Linked DNA regions of Kluyveromyces lactis. The protein of the gene in region 3 purifies or fractionates together with the protein of the main gene of each other region. This does not show direct contact. Links are inferred from orthologs where the notes say so. Each region holds a gene or a part of one and is shown on either strand. Other genes may lie near its edges.

What was found. Proteins that work in one complex are often made in the same cells at the same time.
Region 1: the proteins of ACP1 (region 3) and MZM1 purify together in Saccharomyces cerevisiae (affinity purification with mass spectrometry; 3 studies listed by BioGRID, with this or other methods). This does not show direct contact. The link is inferred for Kluyveromyces lactis from reciprocal best matches to the Saccharomyces cerevisiae genes ACP1 and MZM1.
Region 2: the proteins of ACP1 (region 3) and FMC1 purify together in Saccharomyces cerevisiae (affinity purification with mass spectrometry; 4 studies listed by BioGRID, with this or other methods). This does not show direct contact. The link is inferred for Kluyveromyces lactis from reciprocal best matches to the Saccharomyces cerevisiae genes ACP1 and FMC1.
Region 4: the proteins of ACP1 (region 3) and ISD11 purify together in Saccharomyces cerevisiae (affinity purification with mass spectrometry; 4 studies listed by BioGRID, with this or other methods). This does not show direct contact. The link is inferred for Kluyveromyces lactis from reciprocal best matches to the Saccharomyces cerevisiae genes ACP1 and ISD11.

The regions. Positions count from the first base shown.
Region 1 is NC_006039.1:1,055,947-1,058,802, forward strand, and holds MZM1 (Mzm1p), read right to left. Parts: upstream 1,105-2,856; coding exon 757-1,104; downstream 1-756. Other genes in the region: TPT1 (tRNA 2'-phosphotransferase), read right to left, coding at 1-207; IZH1 (PAQR-type receptor), read right to left, coding at 1,481-2,428; KLLA0_C12463g (uncharacterized protein), read right to left, coding at 2,795-2,856. UniProt on the Saccharomyces cerevisiae protein: Assembly factor required for Rieske Fe-S protein RIP1 incorporation into the cytochrome b-c1 (CIII) complex.
Region 2 is NC_006042.1:387,068-390,329, reverse strand, and holds FMC1 (Fmc1p), read left to right. Parts: upstream 1-2,026; coding exon 2,027-2,506; downstream 2,507-3,262. Other genes in the region: isocitrate dehydrogenase (NAD(+)) IDH1, read right to left, coding at 86-1,171; SGA1 (glucan 1,4-alpha-glucosidase), read right to left, coding at 2,789-3,262. UniProt on the Saccharomyces cerevisiae protein: Needed for the assembly of the mitochondrial F1-F0 complex at high temperature.
Region 3 is NC_006040.1:238,425-241,427, reverse strand, and holds ACP1 (acyl carrier protein), read left to right. Parts: upstream 1-1,547; coding exon 1,548-1,913; downstream 1,914-3,003. Other genes in the region: guanine nucleotide exchange factor DCK1, read left to right, coding at 1-1,231; type 1 protein phosphatase-activating protein SDS22, read left to right, coding at 2,290-3,003. UniProt on the Saccharomyces cerevisiae protein: Carrier of the growing fatty acid chain in fatty acid biosynthesis. May be involved in the synthesis of very-long-chain fatty acids.
Region 4 is NC_006041.1:401,290-404,343, forward strand, and holds ISD11 (Isd11p), read left to right. Parts: upstream 1-2,022; coding exon 2,023-2,298; downstream 2,299-3,054. Other genes in the region: CAJ1 (Caj1p), read right to left, coding at 1-492; APQ12 (Apq12p), read right to left, coding at 904-1,353.

The DNA.
Region 1 (2,856 bases), on a different chromosome or scaffold from region 3:
ATTACTAGCAACAATATGCTGTATTTCTGTTGACGTTGCTTTCAAGCTTTTGAGTCTGTTATGCTGCAGTATTCTATCCAATGCAATGTAACCATCAGAATCTATAGGCAAGTTTTCCTTCACAGCACCATGTCTCAGCAAATAAGCCAATGCTTTCGAAATTTTCACACTTCTGTCCTTAGGTTCCTGCGAATGCGAGGTGTTCATAATGGTTCAGTTAAATCGAGCTTAGCACTTTCTGTTTTCCCCAATAGCTTTGACCATGTCGTTCTCTATCGGTCATACATAACTAATGGAATGAAATATATATGACAACGAAAAAATAATTGGATGGAACCTAATATGAGTCAGATGACACACACGAACGTATATATAGATGTAAACTTAGGAATTACAATGTGCACTGTAGGCACCGTACGTAAACGCCTTGAAGTTGCATAGTAAAAATGATAAAATAGAGTTTGATTAAATAATAGAGACCGTTGACCAACATAATTCGTTATGTACATGATAAAGTTCCCATATTTGGTTCACGAAACCTGACGGGGAAGGAAAAGAAAAAGAAGATGTAAATTAATGATTGTGTATAAGCAAAATACTGTAACAGAATGCGCCATATCAGGGACTGCAAAACGCATCTGGGGTCAAAGACACCAGAGTTAGTAGTCGAGTAATAGAGTCCCTTCAGAAAGGACGAAATCAGGGGAAAGACAGGTCATCAATCTGCCTCATAATTTGCTATTCTGTTCCAGCTGCCTATTTGTACAAGCCAGCACCACCACCACAACAACCGCCACCTTGGGCCGCCAGTGTCTTTTTAGTAGTCTTGATAGTTTCGTTGTCACCCAATTCAGTGTCCTTATGGATGTTCAAGTGATATTTGTCATCCTTAGTCCTCTTACCTTGAACGACATTTTGTCTTAGAAACTGTGCAACATCGTTCATAAGCTTGATCTGTTGATCAGGTGGAAGCTCTGGATTTGGTGGATTGACCATGCTTTCTCTCATCTGTTGTCTTGCTGCCATTAGCATGCGCAAGTCTCCTTTAAAAGCAACGCGGGCGGCTCTCAACCCGTTTCTGTAAGCTCCGAGCGCTTGAGACATCTCGTGTTTAATATATAAGGATCTAGGTGACTTAGTTTGAAGCTTTACTATACGGTTTTCTTTGTCTTATGAGACTCTTCTCTGTCTAGTTATCACAGTTGATATTCGCCATTCTCATTTATATATATATTTTTTTTTGTTCATATTGAAGAAAAAAGAAAACTGCATAATATAGTAAACTGTCGCCAGAGAATGTTACAAACGACGGAACCAACAATCAGCCGAGTGTAGCAACATCTGCGGTACTTGATGGATTGTCCCATTAAGGTTACTTTCTAATGCTTGCGCGTGTGTCTGTATTTATGTATGAGTTCATGTGTAAATTTCTTGTAAGAAGAATGGTAAGATATATGAGATAAAGTATTGGCATATCTCTTCATCTTATGAAGACAAAGCTCGAGTGATGCATACCAGTATGCATGAAAACATAAGATCCGAGGATGGCTCTGAAATGACAGATGGAGCCTAAAACCACCATTATATGAAATATTTGATGTGAGTGTCCGACGAAATCAAATTTCCCAGGCGCTAACACTTCTGGGAACCTGAACCCGTAAATCACTGCACCGGCAATATAGAACATCGCTTCTAACAAAACATACTTCAATTGAACTCTGCGAATGGCCTCATATGCACCAAATTTCCAAAACCCAGTAACAATTGGAACTATCCCACTCAAACCGAATGTCACGTAAAACATTGCTCTGAAGGGTCTAAAAGTCTTTGAGTTAAATTTGTCGTGTAGTGCAAACACAGTGCAGATAGTTCCCAGAATAACGGTGAATACGGTGAAACATTTGAAATGGAAAATGTGGTCGTGGAATCCATAGTATAACAATGAGATAATGGAACACGTAATCATAATAATGATTCCCATGTAGTCCACTTTAGACCAGATATGACAATGCGATTCGGAGTGCTGCTTTAAGCAATGGAAAAAGCTGCTGCATCCTAAGCACAGCACCGAACCCAATAGGAAGAAATGGATCATAACACTTTGCATCATAGTAGAGTTTGGAAATTGAGGGACGAGAAACATATCTGCTAATCCAACAAGGAGCACCAAATACGTAATAGTCGGGACCAAATGAGAGTAAATGTTTATCGATTCATTATGGAATAAGAATAACGATTTGACACATTCCTTTACACTTTTAGTTTCACGGATATACCCTGTAATAATCTTATCATTGTCTTGTTGCCATTCAGGAAGTTCACTATATCTGTATAACCTTTTTATCGTGCTTGAAATTGCAACAGGAGTTAACTGCTCTAATTTTTCAGAAATAGATCTCCTGTGTCTGATAGTCGTAGTAGCACTCATACTTGTCTTCACACAATTAATATATCACTGGTTGTTGGCAGCACTATGTATACATAAACTTCCCGCAACCTTAGAGTCTTTGTTTTTACTGAAGAATAATAAAATTGTCTCAAATCCAGCTCATCTCATCTCATGATATTTATTTAAGGTGCGAAAACTTCATTTTTCAACAGTTTTCATTTTATTAACCGTTAAGTTTCTTAAAAAATGCATATAAATACGTACTACCGAGAGGGCATTATACGAAAATCCTAACAGTAGTAACCACTAATCCTACTCTTGATAATCACCTTCACGACTATGATCCTTTTTTTTTTTCACACTCAAAGTTTTCTTGTACCTGAGTCTATTGATGTGTCTATGAATTTATATTAGTTCAAGTAATCTCAACACATTTGTTGAGCCCTTGCACTTTCGATTGTACAGCA
Region 2 (3,262 bases), on a different chromosome or scaffold from region 3:
GGAGGTAGAGAAGGATATTATAAGGATCAAATTTCTTTTATTTGTTTTGTGTGGATAAAAAGATGTCATAATTTCCTTGATGTGATCATAACTTGGCTAACTTCTCGATAACAGCGTTGGTGAACTCAGAAGTGGAGGCTGAACCACCGATGTCTCTTGTTGTTGACTTACCTTCAGAAATGACATCATATGTAGCTTTGGAAATTCTATCAGCGTAAGCGTTCAAACCTAGATGTCTCAACATTAGAGTAGAGGACAAGATCATAGCAGTTGGGTTAGCAACGTTTTGACCCTTGATGTCCAAACCAACATGTCTGGAACCTGGTTCAAAGACAGCGTATTCTCTACCGAAGTTAGCACCTGGGACTAGACCGGGACCACCGATCAAAGCAGAACCAATGTTACCCAAGATAGAACCGTACAAGTTTGGTGTCACCAAAACATCGAATTGATGTGGCTTGGCAACAGCTTGCATGGAAGCGTTGTCAACGATGATGTTCTTGACATCGAGTTCTGGGTATTCGTTAGCACCAATTTCATTAACGGTGTTTCTGAACAAACCATCACCCAATTTCATGATGTTAGCTTTGTGAACAGCGCAGACCGACTTTCTGTTGTTTTTCAAGGCGAAATCAAAGGCGAATCTAGCAATTCTTTCTGACTTAGCCCTGGTCATGATCTTCAAAGATTCAACGACACCTGGAACAGATTCGTGTTCTAAACCAGAGTATTCACCTTCAGTGTTTTCTCTGATGATAACCATGTCGATGTTATTCAATCTAGTCTTGACACCTGGAATTGATTTGAACAAGGCGACATTGGCGAAAATATCCAGTTGCTTTCTCAAAGCAACGTTCAATGAGCCATGACCGGTTTGGTCGGCTGGAGTGTGCCAGATACCTTTCAAACCAACCTTGTTTCTCTTTAAAGATTCGACAGCTCTTTGTACATTTTCAGTGTTTTCTAGACCAGAAATGTCGATAGTTTCCCAGTCGATTGGAATATTTTCGTTTTCGAAGATCTTGACTACTGAGTCGGTCACTTCCTTACCAACACCATCACCTGGAATCAAAGTTACAGTGTAGCGACCACCGTACTTCTTTGGCAACAATTGTTCAGCTGCTAGGGTAGCGAAGGACTTTTTTTGAGCAGCAATACCTTGTCTCAACATTTTTTTCTATGTTCTTGTAATTTAGTATGTAATACCGGGAATATGAGGGGTTTTAAGTTAAAATAAAAGAGCAATTAACTCGGAAATGAGAAAACCTATTGATCTGATATAATGACTATTGTTTTAAGCTTAATATAATTCGAAAAGAAGGGCACTTCAAATTATATCTGGAATATTGTTTCTTAGTGGAGAAGGGAATTTAAAATAAACACAAAACCTTTAGAAAAAAAGAAAACGAATAGAAATGATAGTTATAACACTAATGGCAGATCCGCTAGTTGTTCAGGCAATTGAATTGGCTTTCTTCACTGATCTTTTACAGTGTTCCTTTTCAGTTGTTGATGTAAAATGAAAGCGGTTGTGATTCAAGGTTTTTAAATCTCTCTGGACAATTTCCATATTTTGTATTTATATACTTATCATGCCAATTTCTAACAAAATTTAGGTCACATTTGATTCCCCTGTGTTCAAGTTGGAAAGTCGGTCCCGCTGCAGTATAATAACAGTCGCGATCATGTGACCTGGGTTCCGTTCTCGGCATTGAGTCAGTCAAAAAACGAACAAGAGGAAAATAAAGAAAAGTGACAAAAAAAAAACACGAATCATTACCCGGAATGAAATATATCTTCAGATTTACAGAAGAAACGTGAAAAAGGTTTCACGTGATCTGGATCGACAGTTAAAGAGAGATTTGACTGTTGAAAAATGTTTCGATGAGTTCTGTATTAGATTGGTGATTCTAGCATGTTATGAGAGTACTCTGCCTTGACATATTATAATAGGCATTATAGGATATCTCCACTTATCATTATCTCACAGAGCAGTGATAATATAGAATATATTAAGGATCATACAATGAGTGAGCTAACGTTATCGACATATAAGTCACTATTGAGATCACTTGTCCGTAGTGCGAAGCACAATAAAATCCAACAACTACAGCAAGATACAAAGAAACAAATAGCCTTATTGACATACAATAGGATCCAATTAGTGAGACAACAGCAGGAGAAGGGCCTAGATGCAATGGCAAGAAGCAAGGTATTAAAACAGCTCAGTGCGGTTGGAAAAAAAATTGAAATTTTGAAGACTAAGGACCCATTGAAATCTAAAGAGCTATTATTTTACAGCCATAGCAAACATCTCAAAGATATTGTTCTATCGCTGAAAGATGACCCGCGTTCTCTTCAACATTTGAAAGATATTGCGGCCTTTGTTGTCAATCAAAGTGAATACGAGCAGTTGATCGAAAGATATAATCCAGGATTGAAAATGTCACAAGAGGAAAAAGTTCAAAAGACTGCTAACAAGGTAGGTCTACAAGTTCCTGAGTAATAGCAACACGGTCAAGTTTAACCATACTGCTGTTGGAAAAGCTTTTTAGAGACGGTCAATAAATGTAAATATTCTCGTATTAAGCTTGTGTTTTTTTATAGATGTTTTAATAGTCAATAATGCAACGATCAATGAACTTAGGATTCAGTACTTTTCTTTGTTAAGTAAAGCAGATACAAGTAGCAGCTAAAATTTATCATTATCAAAGTATTTATTCAACCTATATACTTTTCATTAACAACTTGCCCCTTTACATTTTATTCGAAAGAGTGATTCCATGTCTTATATGGCAATAGGATGGATGAATCGATCGACAATTTCCCTCCAGCGAAGTGCATTGCTGAAAGTACCGTAAGACCATGTCAAATTTGGAGCCCCTTGGTTGTATCCATGATATTTGTTGAACTGTTCGCTCATCGATCCGTCGTTACTTACATGCTCGTTAACTTTGCTTAGGAATGAATCACCGTATTTGAATATTGTGTACAACGTTTGGTTGAACGCTAATGTATTATATGGTATCAAGATCAGCGAATCCTTCATATTCCCAAATTCGAAGAATTTAGTCCAGAACTTGTTCGATATCGGATCAATGAGTAAAGGTTTCTCATCGTGATACATTTTATTGACTAATTTGTAAATCAATTCGGCAGAGGTTAACGTTGAGATAAACCAGGGATTACCTTCAGAGATGTCAATTCCATCATAAATATCCTCTGGATATCTCCCAATGGCAACTCCCATGTTTGTATTAAG
Region 3 (3,003 bases):
GATTAACTACGATTTAGATGGATTATCCTACGTTCACGGTCAAATCTCAAACATCTACACCGATTTGCAAAACGTGGACAGATTGGTACCGAACTATTTCAAAGTCTCCTTCTACGGGTACGGTTTCCCCAAGAACCTGAGAGGAAAGACGTTCGTGTTCGAGGGATTACCGTTTGAACATATCACATCCGTGCATAACAGACTGTTAAAATTGTATCCCGGTTCAAAACTAGTGAACAGTTTTACTGAAGCGGATAAGTTATTGGTATCGCCACCGAATGGTAAATTCATCCACGTTATCAGTGTGGAACCAAGGTTGCAAATATCAGACGAGTATGCCACCAGTGACAAGAAGAATGACAATAACAAGGTCAGATTGTACGTAGAAAACAGGGATTTGAAAACGTTTAGCAGTTCTAGAAGAGTTGCTGGGACACACGGAATCACTGATCTATGGGTAATAGAGTATATTTTTGAAACGAAATCCACTTTCCCAACATTAATGAATAGATCCGAAGTTGTGAAAGTCACTGAGAAACGTCTATCACCAATCAACAACGCCATCAAGTCGTTACAACAAAAGATCCAAGAACTGAGCGGACTTGAAGACATGTGCTATAAACTAATGAAAGAAAACGGCGATTGTTCTGAAGTATTTTCAGAACTGTCAAGAAATATCACAGGTACCATTGATGCACCTATTAACGGTGGTATTGCAGAGTATCGTGTATTCTATACGGATGAAGAAACCAAATCGAAACTAGATCCTGCTGATGTGGAATTATTAGTTGCTGCGTTCAACGAATTGACCATTGTCCTAAACCGTTGTCTCGCACTACACGGACAGCTGTGTCCAATCAGCTTAAGCAAGTCACATACGCTTTTGAAGGACTTATTCGCCAAGAATTTCGAAAAAGAGATCAAAGTTAGCGGAATCGATATCAACGAGACCAACGACGAAATAATCGCAAGAATAAAATCAATCCAGTCATCTCAGCAAAGTTTTTCCAAGAGAAGTAGTATGCTAATGTCAAGATCCATATTCTCAGAGAGCCACTCTATCAGATCTGCTGGAAGTAACGGAAGTGCAACAAAAAACAGTATGCATGATCTCACCGTTACCTCTTCCCATAGAACTACAAAAAGCAACGCGCCATCTCACGCAGCGTCACATGCTACGAGAATATCTCGTCCTACCACACATATCAGCATGCTAAGAAGCACAAGATAGCATAGAATAACTTTCTCCCACTGCAACTGTTCTAATTCTCACCTCATGTAGTCTATATAACAATCCAAATACATTTAGGAAAACATCAAAACGTACGGAGTGATTTATGTGCCTAAGCAATTTTTCCCGGTAAAAAATCGATCAAAAGCCAATTCTTTGCAGAGAGAGAGTTTGGATTAAACCTTTCTACCACAACTATTTTCAACGATCATTTGTTGTACATTCTTTTTATTTTACATTCGATTATTTCAGATCGTTGTTACTGTACAGTATAGTGTCTAGTGATATTACAGAGAGATAAAGAAGGAAAGCAAAGATGTTTAGAAGTGTATTCCGTGCTGCCCCAAGTTTGACCAGAGTTTCTGGATTGAGAAGCGGATTTGTAAAGCCAACTTTTTCAAGTGCTTCCAGGTTCTATGCTTCTTCTTCTCTATCCAAAGAAGAAATCACAACCCGTATTGCTGATGTGATTAAATCTTTTGATAAGACAGCTTCTGCTACTTCGATTACTGCTAACACTCAATTTTCCAAGGATTTAGGATTAGACTCATTGGATACCGTTGAATTGTTGGTTTCCATTGAGGAAGAATTCGATATCGAATTCCCAGATAAGGTTGCAGATGAGCTCAAGTCTGTCGGTGAAACTGTGGAATACATCGCTTCCAGCCCGGAAGCTAACTAAGCAATTGGGATCCGAAACGTTGCCCTTCGGTTTTACCAGAATTTAATGTGGAAGAATGTACATATATTGACACACATATATAACTTATAATGAAAGATAAGATAGTTTTGATGAACTGTTTCATGGCCAAAGTGCTATATGTAAACGTCTATTTGTATATCCTTATTACTCCATATGTTTGAACTTGATTTCCATCGGGTCATATGATTTGTAATTCAAACATTTTTCCTTGCGCCCAATGATCACTGAGTTCAATTTTTAAGGTTATGTAACATGCAAACCACATCTTTAGACAGACGGTTGTTGAGGTAAAGACAATGGTTATAAACGCCATTTAGTATTAGATCCGAACCCATATACTTCCAATATATAAAAAATGAGCCGTGAAGAGAGAGTTTTGAGTGATACTGATAATGAAAATACGAATGAGGAAATAGAGACTGGTATTGATTCCCCGGACGAATCATCTTCAGGGTTGTTCACAGCGGGACGCTCGTTACAATCGAACGTCATAGAAGACCACAACCCTGACTATATATCTGCAGATGCAGAATTGGCCGCAGAGATACCAGATGACACCGAAGTAATTGACTTAGTGCATTTGAAAGTACTGGCGTTGGAAGACTTGAATTTGTTGAGATTTAAGAATTTGAAGAAGTTATATTTAAGACAGAATTTGATCGAGTCAATAGCTGAACTGGAGGTACTACCGTTAGAAAACATGGAAGAGATTGATTTTTACGATAATAGAATCAAACACATCTCGAAAAGCGTTAATCTTTTCTCTAATCTAAAGACACTCGACTTATCTTTTAATAAGATTAGAACTATCAAGAACGTCGATAAATTGGTAAACCTCGAGAATTTGTATTTCGTCCAGAATAAGATATCTAAGATTGAAAATTTAGGAACCCTTACAAAGTTGAAAAATCTTGAGCTTGGTGGCAACAGAATCAAAGAAATTGGTCCTGATGACTTGAAAGGTTTGGCTAATCTCGAAGAGATATGGTTGGGTAAGAACTCAATCCCTAAATTGATAAACTTGCAACACCTCAAAAATTTGAGAATATTAAGCATCCAATCTAACAAA
Region 4 (3,054 bases), on a different chromosome or scaffold from region 3:
CTCGGCGGCGGCCTTCTTGCCATTATGTTTGGACAATTCAGTCGATTCATTCTTGTCAGAGTCACTGGTTTCGGACTTGTTCTTATCCTTACCATTGGCAGTTCCGCCTTCTTCTTCACCTTCTTCGTCTTCATCTTGGAACATCTCAGATTCATTCAAGAAGTTCTTCAACAACCCGTATTCACCAATCCACGATGTAAAGGAATCGCCACCAAAGACGGTCATTAACATTTCATAAGGATCCTGGTCCATAGGAATTTCACCATTGGTTTCGTCCAATCCGAATTGATCATACTTTTTTCTCAAATCATCGTCAATCAAAACCTGGTAAGCCTTAGCCAACTCTTGGAACTTCGTCTGTGCTTGCGGATCATCTGGATTCTTGTCCGGATGCGTCTTAATTGCTAGCTTTCTATAAGATTTCTTAATTTCCTGAGGCGAAGCGTCTACAGAAACCTGTAAAATATCGTAATATGTGGTATCTTTCACCATAGCTGAGTATTTGATCCGATAATTGCTCTTGATAATAGTAAAGCTAAACAGCTAATCTTATACACAGTTGGAAGTTCGTGTGAATGTATGGCAGGTATACTGCTTTCTGTATCAATGTGTGGTTAGTATAAGTGTTTGCCTTCCGGAATTATTTTTGGTTAATGTTGTGATGTAATGTTAAGCCATTTATTGATTTCAGGAAATAGAAACATTTCAGGTTTGATGAGAGAACAAAGGAGATGCATAAAAGGAAGAAAATGGAATCGAGTTGCAATGGCACCATTTCTCGATGGGCCAAACTTTCCAGTCTAGTAATCAAATATACAACCTATGGCTAACTAGTAGAGTATCAATCTTGATATGCAGATAAATACCGATTAATAAAGGGAGAAATTTTCGCTCTTCCATGCATTAAAATAACGCCTGTAACGAATTGTACAAATCATAAAACGGAGCATACACATCCTTGAGAAAGGATCCGTTCCCATGAGCATCCCTTGGTAAGTTATGCACGTACTGTTTTAACCTATCTGCCAGATATGGCAAATCCATCAGGATAACTTGAGAAACGCCTCTTTGCCAGACGTAAAGACCAAATACTACCAGAATAACATAAGAGGACGATTTAACAACTCGAATGGCACGCTTTATAGTCAAATAGGCCATGTATAATGAAAACAAGTAACCCAACCAGTCAGAGACTTGTGGGTACCTACTTACAAGCGAATGCACCGTCTGTAGGGCCCATATCAGATAATAAGAGGCATAGTATGTCAGTTTTTTTGCCAAATTCACGTATGGCTGATATTTTGGATCACTCAACAGATGTTGTAATCTCTGGTATTCTTGATAACTATTCATAATCGTCTAACCTTAACCACTCAAACGTCGAAACTGCTTTACCGGTTTGCTTACCAGTACCCAAAATAACTCCTGGCTCCGATATTACTCCACGGATTTAACAAATACCGTACGAAAGTTGACTTTAACTTTAATAAGGGAACGGCACTGACAGAAGAAAAGACAATCCAAATCTTTCTCAGCTAATTCGGAGATAGAAGTATATATATATAAATATATTCCTGAATTGCAGTGCAAAACAGAAGAATATTCAAGAAACTATTATACAGTAAAATTTACATCTTAAATTCACGTTGCCATCAGAATCAGAATAAAGTTGTGTTTTGGTTTTTTAGTTTCAGTTTTTAATTTCCTTTCGTTTTCTGATTTCTTTAACATTGGAAAGAAGGAAAAAAATATTGTACTTTATTATATTTTTTAGTACTTTTAGAAGAACGTTTAATCATACATAACACAAATCACAAGGTAAGGTTCAGGATCCCATATCGGTATTATCATAGACCGGAGTTTCTGCGTGTAATTATTTGATCCGCTAGCTTTCAGTTTTATTCTTTCCGTTGTTTTAAAGGTATTTTTACGAAAGGAATTGGAGTGATTTCGTAAGGAAGATAATTTCAACTCTTCAACTAGCTACACATCCACAAGCACACACATATATTAATACAAGAGATGCCAGCTACTGGAGCAAGCAAAACGCAGATATTGCATATGTATAAAGAGTTCATCAGGAACGCGAGCAAGATACAGAATTACAATTTCAGAGAGTATTTTTTAAGAAGGGCAAGAGAGTCATTCCGTGCCAATAAGAACGTTGAAAATCCTGAAAAGATCAGCGAATTGCTTTCTGAGGCAGAAAAAGACCTTGGTGTATTGAAGAGGCAATCTGTGATCTCTAACATGTACACATTTGATAAATTAGTGGTTGAGCCTCTGAAGAAGCGTTAGCATGGCCCATTTACAGGAATGCTTTCCCCTCTCTTTTTCATATTTCTTTCAATCAATGAACGACAGTCCCACTAGTCCAGTTCCCCCACATAATTTCCTTGGTCCGCATCCCATGTTTTGCATTTTAAATAGGTATAATTAACAGAAACGCGATTCTAACAGATTCAATATGATCTCAACAGTTCTACAATTACTGGGATGACTCAAAATGCTAGTAAATTTACTCATTTTGTTTATCTCTTTCGCGCAAAACACCAATCGTTTGCGTAGACAATTAATATGTCTTTAGGGTAGGTTATGGTACTGAAACACGGTGTCTGTAAACAGCAAGGACAGACGATTTGTGTCTTCCACGACGTTCCGATCCATGCTAGACTGCTGTTCGAGGATTAATAAGCGGAAAGAGAGAGAGACATGGGGTTTGGAATTGCTCAAAATCACGTGAACAGGCACGTGACTTCAACCAACCCAAATCCAAGATAATATCATCGTCGTAATCCAGATATTATTCATGTTATGCATATTTCCCTTAATACCAATTATAAGGTCATTGTCGTCAGTGCCGTCGCATCAAACAGTATAGATAAGCAATCTAATTTCGTGCCTGTAGAGTCTATTTTTTTAATTATGAGATCACCTTACTGGAAAGAAGTAAGAATTGATTACTCTTATATATGCGTTGAGAAATACTGCACTAAACGAATATACAGATGACATGATTCGCGCTCATATCGCGTCAAATATCAGAGACCTTAA